Nothobranchius furzeri: one gene and its partners. The protein of the gene in region 3 interacts with the protein of the main gene of each other region in a pairwise test. Links are inferred from orthologs where the notes say so. Each region holds a gene or a part of one and is shown on either strand. Other genes may lie near its edges.

Evidence for each region. The genes of interacting proteins can lie anywhere in the genome.
Region 1: the proteins of agtrap (region 3) and mcee interact in binary tests that used the Homo sapiens proteins (3 or more experiments, as listed by UniProt). The two-hybrid records come from large-scale screens. The link is inferred for Nothobranchius furzeri from reciprocal best matches to the Homo sapiens genes AGTRAP and MCEE.
Region 2: the proteins of agtrap (region 3) and mief1 interact in binary tests that used the Homo sapiens proteins (3 or more experiments, as listed by UniProt). The two-hybrid records come from large-scale screens. The link is inferred for Nothobranchius furzeri from reciprocal best matches to the Homo sapiens genes AGTRAP and MIEF1.

What each region holds. Positions count from the first base shown.
Region 1 is NC_091749.1:64,483,146-64,489,301, forward strand, and holds mcee (methylmalonyl-CoA epimerase, mitochondrial), read right to left. Parts: upstream 3,630-6,156; 5' UTR 3,559-3,629; coding exon 3,525-3,558; intron 2,692-3,524; coding exon 2,363-2,691; intron 2,038-2,362; coding exon 1,885-2,037; 3' UTR 1,726-1,884; downstream 1-1,725. Other genes in the region: mphosph10 (U3 small nucleolar ribonucleoprotein protein MPP10), read left to right, coding at 3,661-3,746, 4,529-5,192, 5,266-5,441, 5,530-5,695. UniProt on the Homo sapiens protein: Methylmalonyl-CoA epimerase involved in propionyl-CoA metabolism.
Region 2 is NC_091752.1:65,048,478-65,055,016, forward strand, and holds mief1 (mitochondrial dynamics protein MID51), read right to left. Parts: upstream 4,026-6,539; coding exon 3,879-4,025; intron 3,805-3,878; coding exon 3,624-3,804; intron 2,106-3,623; coding exon 1,834-2,105; intron 1,759-1,833; coding exon 925-1,758; 3' UTR 627-924; downstream 1-626. Other genes in the region: mitochondrial ribosome and complex I assembly factor AltMIEF1, read right to left, coding at 4,151-4,363. UniProt on the Homo sapiens protein: Mitochondrial outer membrane protein which regulates mitochondrial fission/fusion dynamics.
Region 3 is NC_091743.1:75,226,995-75,232,297, forward strand, and holds the end of agtrap (type-1 angiotensin II receptor-associated protein), read left to right. Parts: intron 1-2,921; coding exon 2,922-3,046; 3' UTR 3,047-3,168; downstream 3,169-5,303. UniProt on the Homo sapiens protein: Appears to be a negative regulator of type-1 angiotensin II receptor-mediated signaling by regulating receptor internalization as well as mechanism of receptor desensitization such as phosphorylation.

The sequences.
Region 1 (6,156 bases), on a different chromosome or scaffold from region 3:
GACATTTTGTTCATTTTGCTAATGTCAACATTTTCAAAAGTCCATTTCTCCCCATCAGAACAGAGAGCTGCAGTTGCTCTGAAATCACAGAAATGATTTTTCCTCTTTGGAAGTGTTTGCTTTATGATCCACATGTTTAATACTGGACTTTAACTCGGTAGGGTCGAGGGGGGCTGGTTCCCATTCCCAGCAGGCGAGGGGCCGGGACACCCTGGGCATGTCACCAGTCCATCAGGTTCACACGCACACACTGGTCGCTAGCTCCGGCCCTGGGGCCAGAACTTTCTCATGGTCCCTACGACCCGCTTTAGAACCTGAGACATGGCATTTGAGGCCGTGGCCCCAAAACTGTGGAAAGCCTTGCTGACTAATTGTTCATTTAGGATGCAGCTGAAAAAGCTTCTTTTCAGACAAGCATCCCCCGTCTCTTTTACCTTTTATTAGAATTAGTTTTTAATGTATCACTTTTATATTTTTACCGTTTTTGTGAAGCACTTTGTGATTTTATCTGTGAAAAGTTTTCTAGAAATAAATATCTTCTTCGGGACAATGTCGAGTCTCCATTAACCTAACATGCATGTTTTGGTCTGTGGGAGGAAGCCAGAGCACCCTGGGGAGAACATGCCAACCCTGCAGAAAGACCACAACCGTTCCACCATAATGTGCTTTCTTTTGAGCAAAGAAAAGAAAATGCTGATATCAAAGATGAATTTCTACCCACTAAAATCATTCCTCCTGGTGAATAAACAGGCTTTTGTTTCTACGTGGCTACGGCACCAGTCTAGGATCTGTTTTTGTCAACACCTTCAAAAATGCTGCAGCACAACCCGGGATCACAGCCTTAGCCTCTGTATACAAGGTTCCTCCTTTGTTTATGACATCTTGATTGTTTTAAGCCTTTAAATGTACTTTGGTATTTTATTCTGCATCAGTTACTGAGGCCAGGTGAGAAAATGTTCCTGATGTACGAAGAGGCATATTAAAGCGCAGAAGAGATCAGGCTTCCTTTGTAGCTTAGTCTACAGCTTAGACTTTCACATCAGAACCCTGATGTCAACCCTAACCAGAAAAAAACTCACATTTTTCAATCTGTCACAAATAAAACAGAATGAGGTAAATATTAACAAGCTTTTGGGCTGCATTTGAAATTGTTTTCTTATCCTTATTGTTCCGGAATAGATTAAACATGAAGCATTCTACAACTTGTTTTTCTTTTACAGCACATCAGTGTGTGTGTGTGTGTGTGTGTGTGTGCGCGCGCCATGTGCCCAAGCCAATAGCGATGGCAAATTTAATTTCAAATGCAGTGCAGAGTTTTTACCTGACATCGGCACAACACTGAGTTTTAGGCAGAAAATTTAAATATTAACTAAAATGCAGTTAAGTGCAAAACTATTGACTACACGTGTCTGCAGCACGATTAGACACACATTTATATAGTTTATCAGAAAAAAAGTTGATTTGGGGGTGACTTGCTCTTTAAATTACATTTTAAAATCTGCTGTTTTATGTTCTTGCTCCTGGAAAACATTTTGAATTGCTTCTCTGTATGAAGTGTTCGATATAAATAAAAGATGCCTTGGAACATGTGCAAGGTACTGTTTATCCGTATTTGAAATATGAGCTGTAAAACATGCTGTTGTGTGAAACCATGTTACTAGATTGTTGCTGGACAATGAAGAGACAATAAAGCAAGCACACACCCACGAAAGAATCCCTAAGCAATGCTTTGCAAGAGCTTTTATAGAAATGGTCACACATCACACTAGACCTAAGCCAGAACAAAACAGGAACATCACAACCAGCAATCAGCACTCGCATCCCTGCAATCATCTAAGTAATGATGGAGTAAATGGACACGAAGGCGTCTTCGGTCCCCGACGTTCACGCTTCTTCTAACTCCACCAGCACCCCGTCACAGTCTTTAGGATGGAGAAACATGACCGGCTTCCCGTGAGCGCCTATTCGCGGCTCCGCTGACAAAGTTCTGATGTTCTTTGCTTTCAGATCGGCCACTGCAGCATTAATGTCATCTACCTGCAAACAGGCGGAAAACGTAGTTAATCATTAATCTAACTAGAATCACTGGGTTACTACCCTATTGAACCTCTGAGTGGGAAAAGTACAGCGTCAACACAAAATCACCCGTCATTAACCTCTTTTAATTTCACAAAATTACACACAAACCCTTTATGAACTATTATGGACTAGTCCACTAAGGTGTATCCGTGCTGCAGACTGTTTTGCTCCTGATGTGACAGGAAAGATGTCAGTGGTTTAATTATAGTTGCATAAATCAGTATGTTATTAGCGGGGTAAATATGTGTTGCGTCTTCTGACTCACGCCGTCGATGTCTCTCACCTCGATACAGACATGGTGCATCCCTCCGGACTTGTTCTTCTGTAAGAAACCAGAGATGGGGCTCTTCTCCCCCAGAGGATGGAGCAGCTCCAGCTTGGTGTTGCCCAGCTCCACGAACACCGTGTAGACACCGTGCTCAGGCAAAGGCACCTTTTCGCTCACCGTGGCTCCGAGCACATCGCGATACAAGGCCGTGGCCTTCTCCATGTCAGGGACGGCAATGGCTACATGGTTCAGCTTCCCCAATTTCCACAGAGACCCAGGAAGTGGCGCTGTCGTCGAATGTGACCTCAGGAGGGAAACGCCAGAACATCTGGAAATTCCTGCCACTGAATAAACACAATAAAATAAAAATAATGTAAAAATAATTAAGAGCTGAGCTGTTTAGATAAACAGCATTAGATACTGAATAAACCACTATCACTTCTTTAAATGGATATATTCCGGATACATTTTAATGTTTAATATTTACACAAAACTCCTTAAATCCAGGAAGCACCAGGGATATGAAACGTACGGTTTTGGTGAATGTTTTTGTACCACAGACGTGAATTTATTTAAAAAATGTACTAAACTGTGTCACATACATGATTCAGGAAACAATTTATAATTTAAGATATTTTAATTTGAGATACTTGTATGTGTGTGTGTGTGTGTGTGTGTGTGTGTGTGTGTACATACTGAGGACCATTTTGACCATTTTCCCCACAAATTGAGGACATGTTTTGGTCCTCGTTTTTTTTAAGCTTACCAGTTGGTTTTTGAGGTCTGGTGTGAATTAAGTTTTGGTTAAGGTTAGGGTTAGGAACAGATCAGCATTGGTTATGGTTAGGGTATGGGTATGAGTTAGGCATAGTGGAGTCACATAAATGAATGGAAGTCACTGAGGGTACTCACTACGATAGAAAGACAGACAATATTTATAGAAATGTAATATTTATAGAAATGTATTCATAAAAACATTTAGTTTTGACTGTATCTTCTCATTTTTAACCTGAAAACGCAAAAAGAAAGTAAACACAACACATCGCGAGTTGCGCTTAAGTCGAGAGAGACGATTTGGAGAGCAACTATCGGCAACTATACACTCTTATTTGTCAAGGCAGAATGCACCGGAGAGAAGCCTGACTGTAGCAGTTAGCTTTTATCGATATAAACAAACCTGCAACCTTCAGCAGCGACGTCGCCATTTTCATTATTATTTTGTTTTTACGTAGGAACCAATCTGTAGCGGCGGACGCGTTTCTGGTCGGGCCTGTTTACCTGCAACACTTTCGGCTACACATGTGTAGGAAAACATGGCGGGTGCAGAAATGTGGGCCGTACTGGAGGATTGTGTCAAAACGATAAATGTTAACACGGCACAACCAGAAAACTTTCTAAGGCGAGTGTTCTGCATTATTTTACTAAAGTTTTATTCTTTTAAACGAGATATTTACTTGACCAATCATCGGCTAAAGCTAAATGCTAATGCTAGCAAATACTTTAGAGAGCTGTTAGGTTAAACTTATTTAAATAAAATAGTTGAGAACGGCTTTCTTTCAGATTTAGAGTCACTTTTTTTATTAAATTAAATGAAAGAAAATGTCATTTTATTAGATTTGACACAATCGGTGACAGCTAATATCGAAAATTAGGATTTATTTGGTTTTATGATCTGTCTCTGACTAAAGGCTGTAGCTGAGTGACACCAACAGTACAGCAAGCTAATAATAATAAAACTCGAGATATTGTGAGACGAGAGGTTAATCCATCCGTGAAATAACATTAACCTGCTAGATTATCTGAAGTAACTGGACAGTGGTGCCTCAAAATGATCACATAGTCTTATGGTCTAATTTGATCTGGATGTGTCTGTTCTCGTTTAAGGACCTAAATGCTTATGTTGCCATACAATATAACTAAAACATTTAAAACTATGATTTACAGACAAAGGTTGTTTGCATGATATCCAAGATTTTGTCCTTTTTTCCTTATTTAATTTTGCTTTGATGATTAATTTCTAACCATTTTCACCATCATGAGTTTTGGTAAACAGCATGGATGTTGTATGATAGTTGGCTGTCACAGATGAAAGCTGCGCTGAGTTCAAACCAGTGGTCATTTTCAAAAGAACCTCTTTCCCTGCAACACGTTTGTCTCACTGATTGTTTTTCTACTTTTCAGCCTTCAAGATGGTGCTGCAGCAGAATTTACCTCCCTCACGAAGACCCTGTATGACCTCCACAAATCCCAGGAGCCTTCAGATTGTAAAGGCAGCCCGCTGGCTCAGCTCATTGTGGACAACTTTGACGAGGAGCAGATTTGGCAGGAGCTAGAGCTCCAGAATGAAGCTGTGCTGACATATTTCACTAAATCTATTGAAGGAGCATTGTCAGATGAGGCATTAACTTTGCTGCCAGAGGAAGAGGTGGTAGAAGATGAAAAAAGTGGTGATGAAGGCGAAGAAGAAATGAATAATGATGAAAATGTAATTAAAATTCCTCCTAGAATGCAAAAGAAAAAGGCTGTGGAAGCTGAAGAAGGGTCAGAGCAGGGCTCAGAAGATGACTCGGATATAGATTTTGATGTGGATGCTCTGGAGAAACGAGAGAAGAAGAAAGCGAGTGCACGGGCAGGCTCCAAAACAAAACTGGTTCCCTCAGAAGTTGACGATAAGTTCTTCAAACTGTCAGAAATGGAGTCATTTCTTGATGAAATGGACAAGCGAGAAGGAAGAGAGGAGGATGGCGACAACAATGTTGACTACTTCCAAGACCTGCACTCGGATGAGGATGACGATTTTGACCTCGGTGAAATACTGTCCTCAAAAAAGCCGAAGAAACACGCGGTATGATTTTATCACTCATCACTTTGGGCTCTGATCATATGGAAGAGACAAATAAATGTTTATTTTCTAACAGCAGGTAAAAAGCTCCAGAGATCTCAGGTACAAGGACTTTTTTGGTGCTGTGGGGGGCAAACCAGCTAAGACTGATGACCAGTCAGATGGAGATGATGATGCGAGTGAGGAAGAGGATGAAGAAGAGTTGGAAGAAGAAGAAGATGGTGATTATCGTGATGAAGAGGACAACGATGAGTGAGTCGATCTGGGTCTAATTTGTGCTGTGGTGAGGGGGGAAGCTTGTTCTGTGAATTCCAACTCATTAAAAAAATGTTTTCCTCAGGGATGAGCAAGAAAGTCGCTCCAAAGCAGCTCACAAGAAGGTGACCTTTGACCTCTCTGGAGAAGAGAGCAGTGAGGGGGAGGACATGGAGGAGATTTTTGGAGGAAAAGCTTCAAGTTCAGAAAAATCCGAATTAAAATCATCTTTTGAGAAACGGCAGGAAAAGGTAAAAGTTTCTCCACGGCTTGTTTTGCAGCAGAAGCTTCAGGATGAGAGGTCAGGTCACCTGGGCCCTCATTCATAGAAACTCTCCTATATTCCTGAAGGACATTTAGAATGTTCCTACGAAAATCCAAAATCCTGATTCATCAAACCACTCATGCACACCTTCCTCCACAATCAACTGTTGATAGATCCCACCTGTGTGTTCCCAGGTGCCCGTTCAGTCGTTTACATGCAGAAACGCCCTTAATTAACAATATTTGGTCACGGCACATCCTCAGCTCACCAGGGGAATCCCTGTAAATCAAATTATTGGAAGCAAGATCGCGGCACTGGCTGCTGAAGTAGAATAGAACCAAACAAGTTGCAGAGGTTGTAAATGCAGTCAGGACAGAGGAGAGGATCCTGTCAGAAATGAAGAAAATTGGTTCCACTTAAAATTAAATATGAAAAACACAAGAGTAG
Region 2 (6,539 bases), on a different chromosome or scaffold from region 3:
TACAGCACTTCCTGTAAGGATTTGCCTTAACGTACGGTACGTAGACGATAGGTCGCTCGTGTGCTGCCGTACCACACCAAGACAACGGATCCGAGCAGGTAAAGAATAAAGGCCCTAAGGCTGTCCCCACCAGTTACAGCCCAGTGAGATACTGGTTTAAAGACTTAGATTCACAACAAAAGATGTTCAGGAAGCGCCAACGGCTTCAACCCAGCGGGTCAGAACAGCTCCAGCAGAAGCGTCAGATCTTCCCGTGATCCTGATCCACGGCACCGACGGGAACACGGAACCACAAACCTCCAGTTTATAACAGAGCCTCTGTGTGTGACGTCACATGACCCCCACGGCTAAGTCAGGCTACTCATTGGCTGGGGTTTCAATTATCCACATTTTATTCTTTTAAAATTGTTTCCCGTCGTCCATCTTTTGTTCTATATTTCATTCTATTTTTTACTCATGACGGTGACTCGCGCAACTGCAGCTACCTGAAACACGCCACGTCTCCCACACGCGATCCAAGAGACCAGAATATGAACGAAACTCGATTTAGAAGTGGAGAACTTTAAGGATGGCGGAGGGGAAGCAGACCCACCCGGATTATGAGTCCGGTCCAGAGCTCGGTACTGTTGGCACACACACACACACACACACACACGTTTTGGTCTGTTGGTGCTGCGACACAAACCCGTTGGAACACTTGTTACTAAAATGCTCTGAAGCCTTGGTTTGCCCTCCACTGAGCATGCTCAGTCCGGTTTAATGCAACGGCTCTGAGAAGTCCCTCCGCTCTCCTCTGAGATGTTTGGATACGAACAGCTGTGATGTGAAGAGTCAGACCGGCCCGACACGAGACCCGTCTCATGCAGCGTTTTTGTTTCTGATGAATGTTTAACCCGACGCTTCCGTCTCAGCGCCGGTTTCCTGTTAGGGGAGGTGTGGTTCTGCGGTTCTGAGAAGCCCTTCGGGATCTGAGAGGGCGCAGTAGAGCGTGTAGCCCAGTTCGTCCACTTCCTGTTCGGTCAGCTCGCAGAACAGATTGACTTTAGGAGCGAGGGCGCAGGGCAGCCTCCCGGCCTCCAGGTGTTCCACCAGAGCTCGCAGCAGCTGCAGGAAGCGGTCAGCCAGCGCGTCCTGCGTCCAGTCTCCTTCCTTTTGGCTCAGCAGCAGGATGGCGTTGGTGAGCTGGCTGGAGTTGAGTCGGTTCAGGGCGGGGTCCAGCTTGCATACGGCCTTGGCCACCTTCAGGCAGGTGCACCGGCAGCCGCCGTCCTCCTGATCCAGTGCCCTGAGGCGCGCCGTCTCACCCACGCGGAAGCTCTGCCGCCACAGGTTCTCGTGGCGCTCCGCAGCGAGCCGGTGCGGTTTGGCGATGAGCGACGTTCCGTCTTCCATCACGAGCAAAGGCAGGAAGTCCACATAAAGCCTCCGGTTTGCCTCATACTGGACCTCAAGGGTCAGGGTCTCAGAGGGAACCACGGGACGGATGATGTAATCCAGGACGCTCCCGATGGCCGGCCAGTTGATGGAGCCGGAGACCAGCTTGTCGAAAACCTCAAGGAGCGATTTAGGGGAGAGGTAACCCCCCACCATGCAGCGGTCCCAGTAGCTGCTGTTCCTTGGGAAATATTCCAGGTTCTCCCTGCGGACGAGCCAGAACCCAGGAACGTTCATGATGGTGTCCTCCCCGGGAATGGACGACCACAGGTTCTTCTCCAGGACCAGAGGCACCATCAGCTGGGCGTGGTCCGCCGTCACCACCTGTGAGGAGATCAGACTCAGAACCGATCTGCGATTGTGTGTCACTCCAAACGATAATGAGCTAAAGCTGCTCACCTGCAGGTCGTCGTACAGACTTCCACTCAGGTACATCTCCCGCAGCGGCATGTCCGGGAGTTTGGCGTGAAGAAACACCCTGAGCTCGGCGCAGATGTCCAGAGCCGCCTTCCTGGCCAGAGCCTGCTCCTCGGCAGAGATGTTGACCCAGTTCCGGTAGAAGTCCCACAGGCGTTCCTGCAGGGAGAGACGCATCCGAGCCCGCAGCAGGTCGGACTGGGCGGAGCCGCCTCGTCCCGCGGCAGAGCGACCCACAGCTCTCCTCAGACCATCTGAACATGTGTGAAAAAGACAAGTTTAAACAACTCCTGTAGAAGAAAATAACGTTTGAGGAGGAGGAAGGAGATTATTTTAGGGTTGTCACGGTAACCGGTATAGCGGTAAACCCCGGTAAAAAAGTTGACAATAAAAATAACCGTCCAGTTTTTAAAAAACTATATTATCTCGGTGGGTTTACCGTGGCCGCGGTTTCGGCGCGATGACCCTTACCAGCCACCGTCGCTTCAGCTGAAGTTCCCGCGGCGCGCACACGCACTTTTTAATTTGCAACGGCACCAAAACTTTGAAGCTGAAATAATGGCCGAAGGAGGAGACGGCAGCGCCCAGGACATCCATCAGCCCCCAAAGAAGACTAAATCGGAAGTATGGGCATATTTGGGATTTCTGAAAAATGCTGAGGGACAGTTAATAGAAGACTGCTATCCCGTTTGCAGAACGTGCAGGAAACAAGTGTCTGCAAAAGGCAGCAACACTTCGAATCTAATGGCACATCTGCGTGACGATCACCCACGTCTCTACAGCCAGTGCAAGGTAAGTTAACATTAGCATTTTAGCTGAAATGCATGACGCGAGGACTTTTGGTTGACGGAGAATGCAACGAGTCACTATATACTGCAGCCGCAGCGTCCTCTGCCAGCATTTAAACCGTGTCACGGACACCCTGTTGCTGGATGAAGCATCTTATTTGTTGATGATGAAGAGAAATATACAATTAGTTCCTTGTCATTGATTTGTTTACTTATTCAATGCCATTTATACTTGAACATTTGGATTTGATTACATAGTGTAGTAGTTATTTTAGTAATTTGTTTAAAGTGGCTATTTGTTTTAAATACATATTTTTTTAAGGTTGACTTGTACAGTGCTCAAGTCAAGTGTGGACTGGAGTTTTAGATTTTCATTTTGATAATGAAGAAAACAAGTATATGAGAAAACAAGTGGTGTTTCTTTGATTTGTTTACATATTGTTTATGTTTTGAATGTTTGGATTTGTATCATTTAAACCTGCACTGACTACTGTAACATGTTCCAGAAAAATAAGCTATTTGTTCCTTTACTTGTGAAAAGTTGCACTTTTGCTAAGGCTTTGTGTTATTTTAGGTTTAATAAACACTGTTAAACCTTTTCAGAACTATTTCAGTTTGTGTAGAACAGGACTATCAATGCTTTCTGAACATATGCAACACCGTTTAAAAAATACCGCGATAATACCGAAAACCGTGATAATTTTGGTCACAATAACCGTGAGGTTAAATTTTCATACCGTGACAACCCTAGATTATTTCACTACTCTGACATGACGGTTCTACTCCTCTACAGCTAATCCCACTAAACCACCAGAAGAGGTGAGTTTGGGGCCTGCGGGGAGACAGAAGGCAACCCACTGTAAAGAAAGAGGAAGAATCCTCCAAGGAGGCCGTCTGTTGAAAGATTAAAACAAGACGCGTGGCTGAAAGTCAAGCCTACGACCACGAATGTTACGACATAAAAAAACCGAGCTCTCGCCTCACCTGGTTCAATGGAATGTGAGGAAGTGGGCAGCGACTGGAGGGACCTGCTGACCGTGAACTTCATGTCGTGGTTCAGTACTCGTGGGGATGACCCCATCCAGGCAGGCTCCTCCCAGCTCCTCTTCCCAGTTTTCTCCATCTTGGTGGGGCTGGTGGGGGCGCTCATGGCGCGGTCATACATCTGTACAGCAACAATCAGGTGAGCTGAAGCAGACCGCTTTCACGCGCCACGCCGATCGAGATCTTCACACTTACTCGTTTCATAGCCAGCGTCGCAATGCCGAGCATGGCCGCCCCGCCCACCCCCAGCACCAGCTTAGCATTGGAGAGCATGAAGTCGATGGCTGTCCCGAGGCCGTTGTCGTCTTTTTTTCCTTTACGGTCACCGTTCACCCCCGCCATCCCTCTGCTGGCCGAGACAAAACCAGATCAGAAGTGACCCAAACAGCCGCCATGCTGTGGGGTGTTTTCTCTGCGTGAACCCACCTGAGTGACGCACCTCCAGACGGCTCACGGAGCCCCCTCCCCTACATAAGCCCACCCAGCCCACTGCTGAGGAAGAACTGGCCTCTCTTCAGCGCCTCTTCCTTGTCTTCAGGCACGCTCAGGTCCCGGCAGCGCCGGAACTCCCGAGCCACGGCCCGGCGGTAGTAGTTCCTGTCTGTGTACTGAAGGTGGCGTCCGGCGCGGAGCAGCGCCCTGTACAGCTCCAGCACGGCACTGCGAGACCAGCTGCCCATCAGGGATCACACATGGAGGGGGGAGCCACCCTGGAACCTGATTGGAGGACAGATGGGAGACGCCGGTACAGACATGAGAAATGTGATGATCAACCTGCACAGATGGTCACGAGAGCGGAGGGTCTCTCTCTCTCTCTCATTCACACACTTTAGCTCCAACAAGGTGAATCCCAGACATCACCTATGGATTAATGCATCTCTCTAAGGCCCTCTTAAAACGTAATTAGGTTTCTTTCTTCAAAAAACTACTTTAAGAAGCTCCACCGTATTATTTTTAGGTCTGACTCTGCTGTTGTGCCTCACCTGTAAACATTCCTGTTTGTTCAAGCTTAAACTGATCAACGTGTCTGGTACAGGGCCTGGAAAACGCTGCCAAAAAGCTAAAATAACACTTAGTAAACCGTCACATAGCTGGGGAACAGGAAAACAATCATTTTAATAACACAAAGAGGCCTGGCTCACAGGAGACTGCATATAAAAAAATTAAACGTGGTTTAAAACTTTTGCACGTTGTTGTAGCGGTCGCGTCCGCCACGGCAGCGACAGAATTAACAGATTATTCCCGCGAGCAGGCGTTTTCCGTTAGGTTGCTGTAACGGTTGTGTAATCCGGTTTCCTCAGATGAAACGGTATAATATTGCAAATCCATCTGATGTTCAGCGGCCTGTAGAAAATGGCTGGCCTAAAAGAAAGTCACTCATCTCTGTGGAAGCTAGTGGTTAGCTTATTTTAGCGGCGTGAGTTAGCGCTGACCTTACGTTCAAACAGCCTGGCGCACACCACCGCAGGCGTAGAGTAATCTGGCTACGTGTGAAAGCAGCAACGCAGATGTAGAAACGTTTAAAAATCATCAAGAGGCAACTTACGTATCGGAAAATAAACCAGAGTTAATGTTATGAAAGAAGCCGCTCTTCTTTTCAGCCGGGGGTCACGTATGATGGTGACACCGGAAGCAAAAAGGCTTACGTAAAATCCACATCCGGGTTACGCCCCCCCAAGATTTAGCTAAATTTTAACAAATTTTGAGGCATTTTAAAATACTTTTTGATTAAATTACTGAAAAGTCTGCCAGGTGACATTTTTTATAAAGTTTAAATAAAATATTTAGTTAATTTATTTGGTGAAATGAACAAATTCTTTACCACCTTAAATGTTAGACAGCATAGGTGTGTCTGACTGTAACAAACCCATATACAACTGATTATTTTTTTATTTTATTAAACTATTGCTAAAATATAAACTATTAATTAACATTCACCCTTTCATTCAGATAGTTAAAGAGCAAGTCACCCCCAAATAAACTTTTTTGCTGATAAACAAAAGAAACGAGTGTCTAATCATGCTGCAGACACATGTAGTCAATAATTTGGCACTTCAGTTCATCTAATTTAAATATTTTGCCTAAAACTGGCAGTGTTGTGCCGTTGTCAGGTAAAAACTCTGCACTGTATTTTAATTTAAATCTGCCATCGCTATTGGCTAAGAGGTATGCTATGATGTAAACTGGTACATTATGATGTCACAATGCTGTCATGAGCCTGTGTGTGTGTGTATTTGTTAGTGGCTCCGCCTTCTCGGTCTGCCAGGCAACAGTATTTGTTGCATTTTTCAAACATGAAGTGGGAGTGGAGTTAGACTCTGGTAGGGGGTGACTTGCTCTTTAAATGAAGATTTCATCTGATTACTTTAAAAGTAAACAAAAAGTTCACAAAGAGTGCTGGGGAGGAGAAAGATGTACTCGTAATTGCAGTTTGTGATATTCCAGCAAACACACACCCCTTCCCCATGCATTTATATCCATAGTCATTAGTTTAGCACTCAGTCATTTTGGCTGGCATAATTGCAACAGTCAGAAAATGATCTAAGGTATTAAAAACACTTGTTCATTACTTTGCTGCATGAAAATCATTTATTAAACATTGTCCAACATTATTATAATTGGTAATAGTGTTGATGATTCCAACCAGCTTTACAATATATTGCAGGATTGCTGTGAACCATTACAGAGCAGTTAACAATTCTCATTTTCAAGACAAACACTTAAATGTGCACAAAAATCTGGTGAGCAAACAACTTTTTACGTCAACAAACAGTGTAGCAATTGTATCAACACTTTTTCATCCTGATTTGTGAATTGTCATAAGATATTTATTGAAAATTGAATATTTAATCATAA
Region 3 (5,303 bases):
CCCATTTGTCGACTGCACAGAGGATAATTGAATATTGATGAATCTAGTTTCTTTATGGTTTACTTTGCACAGCAGGAACACCCATTAGACTGAGTTATGTCAGATGAAAGCAGCTAATGATCCTCTCAGACAGCGTTTGGGTTTTAATTGCAGCTAGATTGCTTTGCTGGCGTTGCACTGCTGAGCACAGTCAGGTACAAGCAACAGCTAGTTCAAGTCGACTATCACTAAACAAATCGGGATTATGAAAGCTGGGGTGCATAGCATGACGTCATCGTGGTGAGAAGGAAAAGATTTAGAAATTTGAACGGCTGAGAGCCATGCCTCACAAAGCTCTGTAGTGTGAACGCTAGCACTAAGTAATGTCTTTGATATGCTCCTGCTCAGACAAACCTAATTCTAACTGCTGAATTCAGCCTTCATCTGGTTGCAGCAGCTAATCACTCAGTTTAAACATATGTGGTGTTCAGCAGGGAAACCTCTAAAACGTGCAGGAATCTGGCTCTTCCAATGCTAGCACACCCTTGCTAATGCTGCAACAAGCAAAAACAGTCTGATAGCGTGAGATTGAATGCTACGCTAATCACTTAGCTCCAATACACACTAAATAATCGCCTCCCCTCCCTCCTCTTCTACAGGACTGAAATTTAGAATCTAGCTGAAATTTTCTTGTCAAGACAAAGGTTAGTAAAACCTGTCCATGACGCTTTTAACTCAAGTTAACTCAATGTTCTTGTTTTCAGAAAGCCTTTAAAATGATTTGCTGCTAAACTAACAGGGCTGACTCTGCTTCAACCACATTATTATCTGTGAAAACGACGAGCGGCAGCATTAGACATGGTCCGGCATTCATTGGTCAGTCATCCCGGAGGGGCTCGGAGTAGACCCGCTGCTCCTCCACATCGAGAGGAGCCAGTTGAGGTGGCTCGGGCATGTGGTCAGGATGTCTCCTGGACACCTCCCTTGTGAGGTTTTCTGGGCATGTCAAACCGGGAGGAGGCCTAAAGGTAGACCCAGGACAGGTTGGAGGGACTATGTCTCTCACCTGGCCAGGGAATGCCTTGGGATTCCCCCGGAGGAGCTGGCCCAAGTGGCTGGGGAGAGGGAAGTCTGGGTCTCTTGACTTAGGCTACTGCCTCCGCGACCCGACTCCAGATAAGCAGATGAAAATAGATGGATTGATAAAAACAATCATGGCTTGTGTGTGTAACAATTTTATCACTGATGAGTAAACCGTATTTGTCAGAATATTCCTGTTTCTTTTCCTGCATGCCGTAGAAAGTTCTCTTGCACATGTTCCATTCATTCTTTGTGTGCAATCTTTAGTTTTTGTGTCTTATTTTGATCTTTTTCTTCTTCACTGCTGATCTCTGTTTTCCTCAGACTTAGAGACCTCTGTGGACAGTCGGTGCACTACGGACAGTGCTGACAGTGCCTATTACGGCCGTCGTTACTGATTCCTGGCTTCTTCCTTTTTCCCTTCTTTCCAAATCACCCCATCCCCGGGAAGTAAGACGTCTGATCAGAAAGAAAGAGACTTTCTCTGTGTTTTGCTTTTTACTGGGTTCCATCATTTTGTTCATCTCTTTGTAATTTACATGAACTTTTTTACTTTCACCGTTTCCAGCCTGATCTCAGAGAAATTCAACATGCTTTGGCCTATTTGATATTAATTCAACAGTGGAATAGTGGTTTCACACGTCCGGCACCAGGAAACGGAGATTCAGAAGCTTTTCGGGTGAAATCCCATTTACGCTTGTCCTTTTTAGAGTTTTGTTGACTTTCACCAGCCTGGCTCTTCTTAACCCTTTTTACATGTTTATTCAGCTGTTGGCTTGCATGTAAAATGATGTATTTCTGTGCGACCAGCTGGCCTGTTTCCATCATCAGCAGCCCACATTACTGTTCCATTCGTTTTCCCTGTAAAGTGTCTTTTACTCTTTTATTTTGCATGTACTGAATATTTTATTCAGATTTTTAGTCTCCAGGCACCTCATTTGTTAGGAGTATTCTGGGATGTTTTTTATATTTTTTTATTGTTGGTTTTCAAGATCTGTGATGGCGCTCACTTTAAAGTGAGCCCAGTTGACTTATAAAACAAGCCTTTATCCTTACACGTGAAGCTAATAACTGTTTTTATTCATATTTGTTACATTTAGAAAGGATACCACAACCTTATGATGGTTAACTTCATGTGCCACAAATCCAACGTTCTTTATTTGATGAGAGTGCAAAACTGCAGGTTTGTCACAGAGCTGTGAGCGGAGAAGGGATGCGACGGTTTGGACTTCCACAAAAATGCCATTAATATTCTGACCTTGCAGAGTTGATGCTGTTTGCTGCAAAGCCTCACATAAAGTCCAACTCTGTTCCAGGATCCATTGTAAAGTTTGTAACTTCTAAACCCAACTGGTTTTTTTTTAATATTAATTTGAGATCTTCTGAAAGTTCCCAACAACATCAGAAGCAAGCATCGTGAGTCGAGGTCCTGAATCATTCCAACCGTGTCACTAATCTATTTAAATGAATCTTTGAATGCTCCTTTAGTCCTGGAAACAAGATGCAAAGCTTGTTGCTCTCACAGCCACGTTTCTCCTCAGCTGGAGTCTTTTACTTCCCACAAAACCTAAAGTACCTTTAGCTGCCTGTCGAAAAAAGCACGCTCTTGGCATCAAAATGTGTCTTAAAATTCACAGCCGTCATGTGTGAAATCCATGGCGCTCATCAGACGGGATCAGAAAATAACTTATTGCTCCATCGACTCATTCATGTTTTATGACCGTATAGACCCCTGGACCAGAAGTGGAAGGGCGTGATTTAGGCTCCCAATAGAGTTGCTGTGGCGCCAAGGCCAACGTGATCGGATGTGAATGAAAAATGTCCTCAGACAAGATTTGAATGTTTTTGGCGTGTCTCTGCAGGGTTTCCTACTGTATCACGAAACAGAGATGCCTATCAGTCTATCGACCAGCCGGACGAGTCCTCGAGTCCAGCGAACCCCTTCAACCAGGCCCAGGACAGCAAACCAGGAGTCCGCGCTTACTGAGTCGAGCAGGACTTTACCAAAGCTGTCCTGTCCTCATGGATTCACATTGCAACACATGATGCACCTGTGAGATCAAAAGTCAAATCAAAACTTAAAATTTTGCTGAATAAACATCTGTTTGGGTCTCATAGTGTGTTTATGAGCTGAGTTGCTCTTGCGTTGGAAGAGGGACTCCTGAACACACAGTACGACGAAAGTCTCGTGCTCTTTGTTTCGTTAGTTTTTTACTAATGTGGCACTTACAAACAACTGACTCCATGTTTAGCTCAAAATTAGGATGAGTTTGTATTCAGGACTTTACTGGGCAGAATGGTTGGAAGCATTGGACAGACTGGGAAATGTTATGAAATCCCCCAGATGATTTGAACAGCTAAAGCATTTAGGGGGCATTCTTTAAGAGGAAGCAGCTTTTGGCAGATTCACCTGCAATTTATTTATCCTAAAGTTTACTATCTGATAAACAACTATTTATTCTACTGCCATCAGACAAAAAAATGTCCGTTCTTTGCATAATGACCCCAATGATGAGCTCAATCTATCGTGCGAAGAAACAAACTTTCTGCTCTTAGACTCGTCAGCATAAACACTCTGTGTGTGTGAAGTCACTGTTTTAATGAACACAGGTCACACACTATGCTACACGTGTTTAGTTTTAACTAATTTAATCAGAAATGTTAAAGGTGTCATGAACTAAATATGAGTTGAAACAAATGTGCAGTTTCTCACATCATTCCAAAAGCATTCCTTGAAGGTTGCACTTTCAGGGTGCAAATTGCACAGCAGTGCTGCACAATAAAGATAGAGACCCTGTTGCTGCTGTCATTACTGGCCCGTTGCATCATTAAGATGTTTTTGTCATGCATTTTATTTTTTTATGTAGTTCAAAGTTCTCTCTTGGAAAACCTTGTAATCTGTGCGTTGGATGTGGTTACTGTGCTGAAATGACCTGTGATGTCATAACTTCCTTTTACCCAAATATGCAGCTCTAGTTTTGCTCTGTTGAATAAAAGCCTATAAAATGTTTTTCTGTCAACAGGAGCCACCTTCTGATGGGTTGTTTTATGCATTTTGCTACAGAGACATTTCACCTGAATATCTTCTTTTGATATTGTCAAAACTGTTCAGCTCCACTAAATATTCTGCATTAAATGAATACATTTGGTACACCTCCTTTAATTTTCCAACATGAGACTGTTTCCTGCTTAGTTTGCATTTAATATTTCATGAAATCTCTTAGAATAAAGAAATATGAAATATACAGTTGCGTTGGTTACGTCTTCATGTGCAGCCTGTCAGAGCTGTAAAGACCATCCTGTCCGTGCAAGATGACACATTTATGTCCCAGCTTCCTTGTGTGAAACATTTTTCACACTCCAGAATTACATCACATCAACCAGCTTTTGTCTGTTAACTAAACTCGTACTTTCTGCACAAACCACACACTGCAACACACAACTTGGCACAGAAATGTCAAAATTAGTAAAGGGAATAATGAGAATTTATTTATTTTCCGCTCCCTCCAACACTGAAAGTATGAAAAGTGTCATTTTATATTTATTTAAGGACAAGGAAAAGCAAGTATTCCTCTGAGGATTAGGTGATTTTGTGCACACAGATCATGAAAATCCCCTAAAGGTTTTAGCCACTGACTATTTTTACTGTCATTAGGGGGTTAGAAACTCACCAATCTTGTCTGTGAGTTTTGCTGCCTTATGGGCTCTTAAGAAAGCACAAATAGAGGTTTTATTAACGCAGCTGCAATATTTATTCGTTCAGAAGCCATACCATTTTAGCTTGCAGCTTATGTTAAAGCAACAGAGGTTTTAAAGGTGCAGTATGTAAGAATAAAGTGAGAATTTTACTGTGAGAAAATCCCAAAATAATTGAATATTTCAGTCATTTTGGAAGGAAATTTCTACTGAAACATATTTCATATCAAGCAGGTTGAGGGGATTGCCATTGTCTCTCTTTTCAAAACAAAGGGAGGAGGGATGTAACAACTGTTACCACCAGTGAGTGTGAGGGCGCTGTGGCTCCTGCGAGCTAATACTGCAGCACCCGCAACTGTAATTTGACAACAGCCGGCAAAAAGCTCCAGAGTTGTTTAAAGTGTTAGCAGTAACTATATTTTCCCAGAGTATGTCATTTTTATTAATGTCTACATAATGCACCTTTAACACTTCAAAGTAACACCAAGCAGTTTCCTGCTCCGCCGCCCTACTGGTTGAAATTATAATTACAACTGTCGGAAACAACC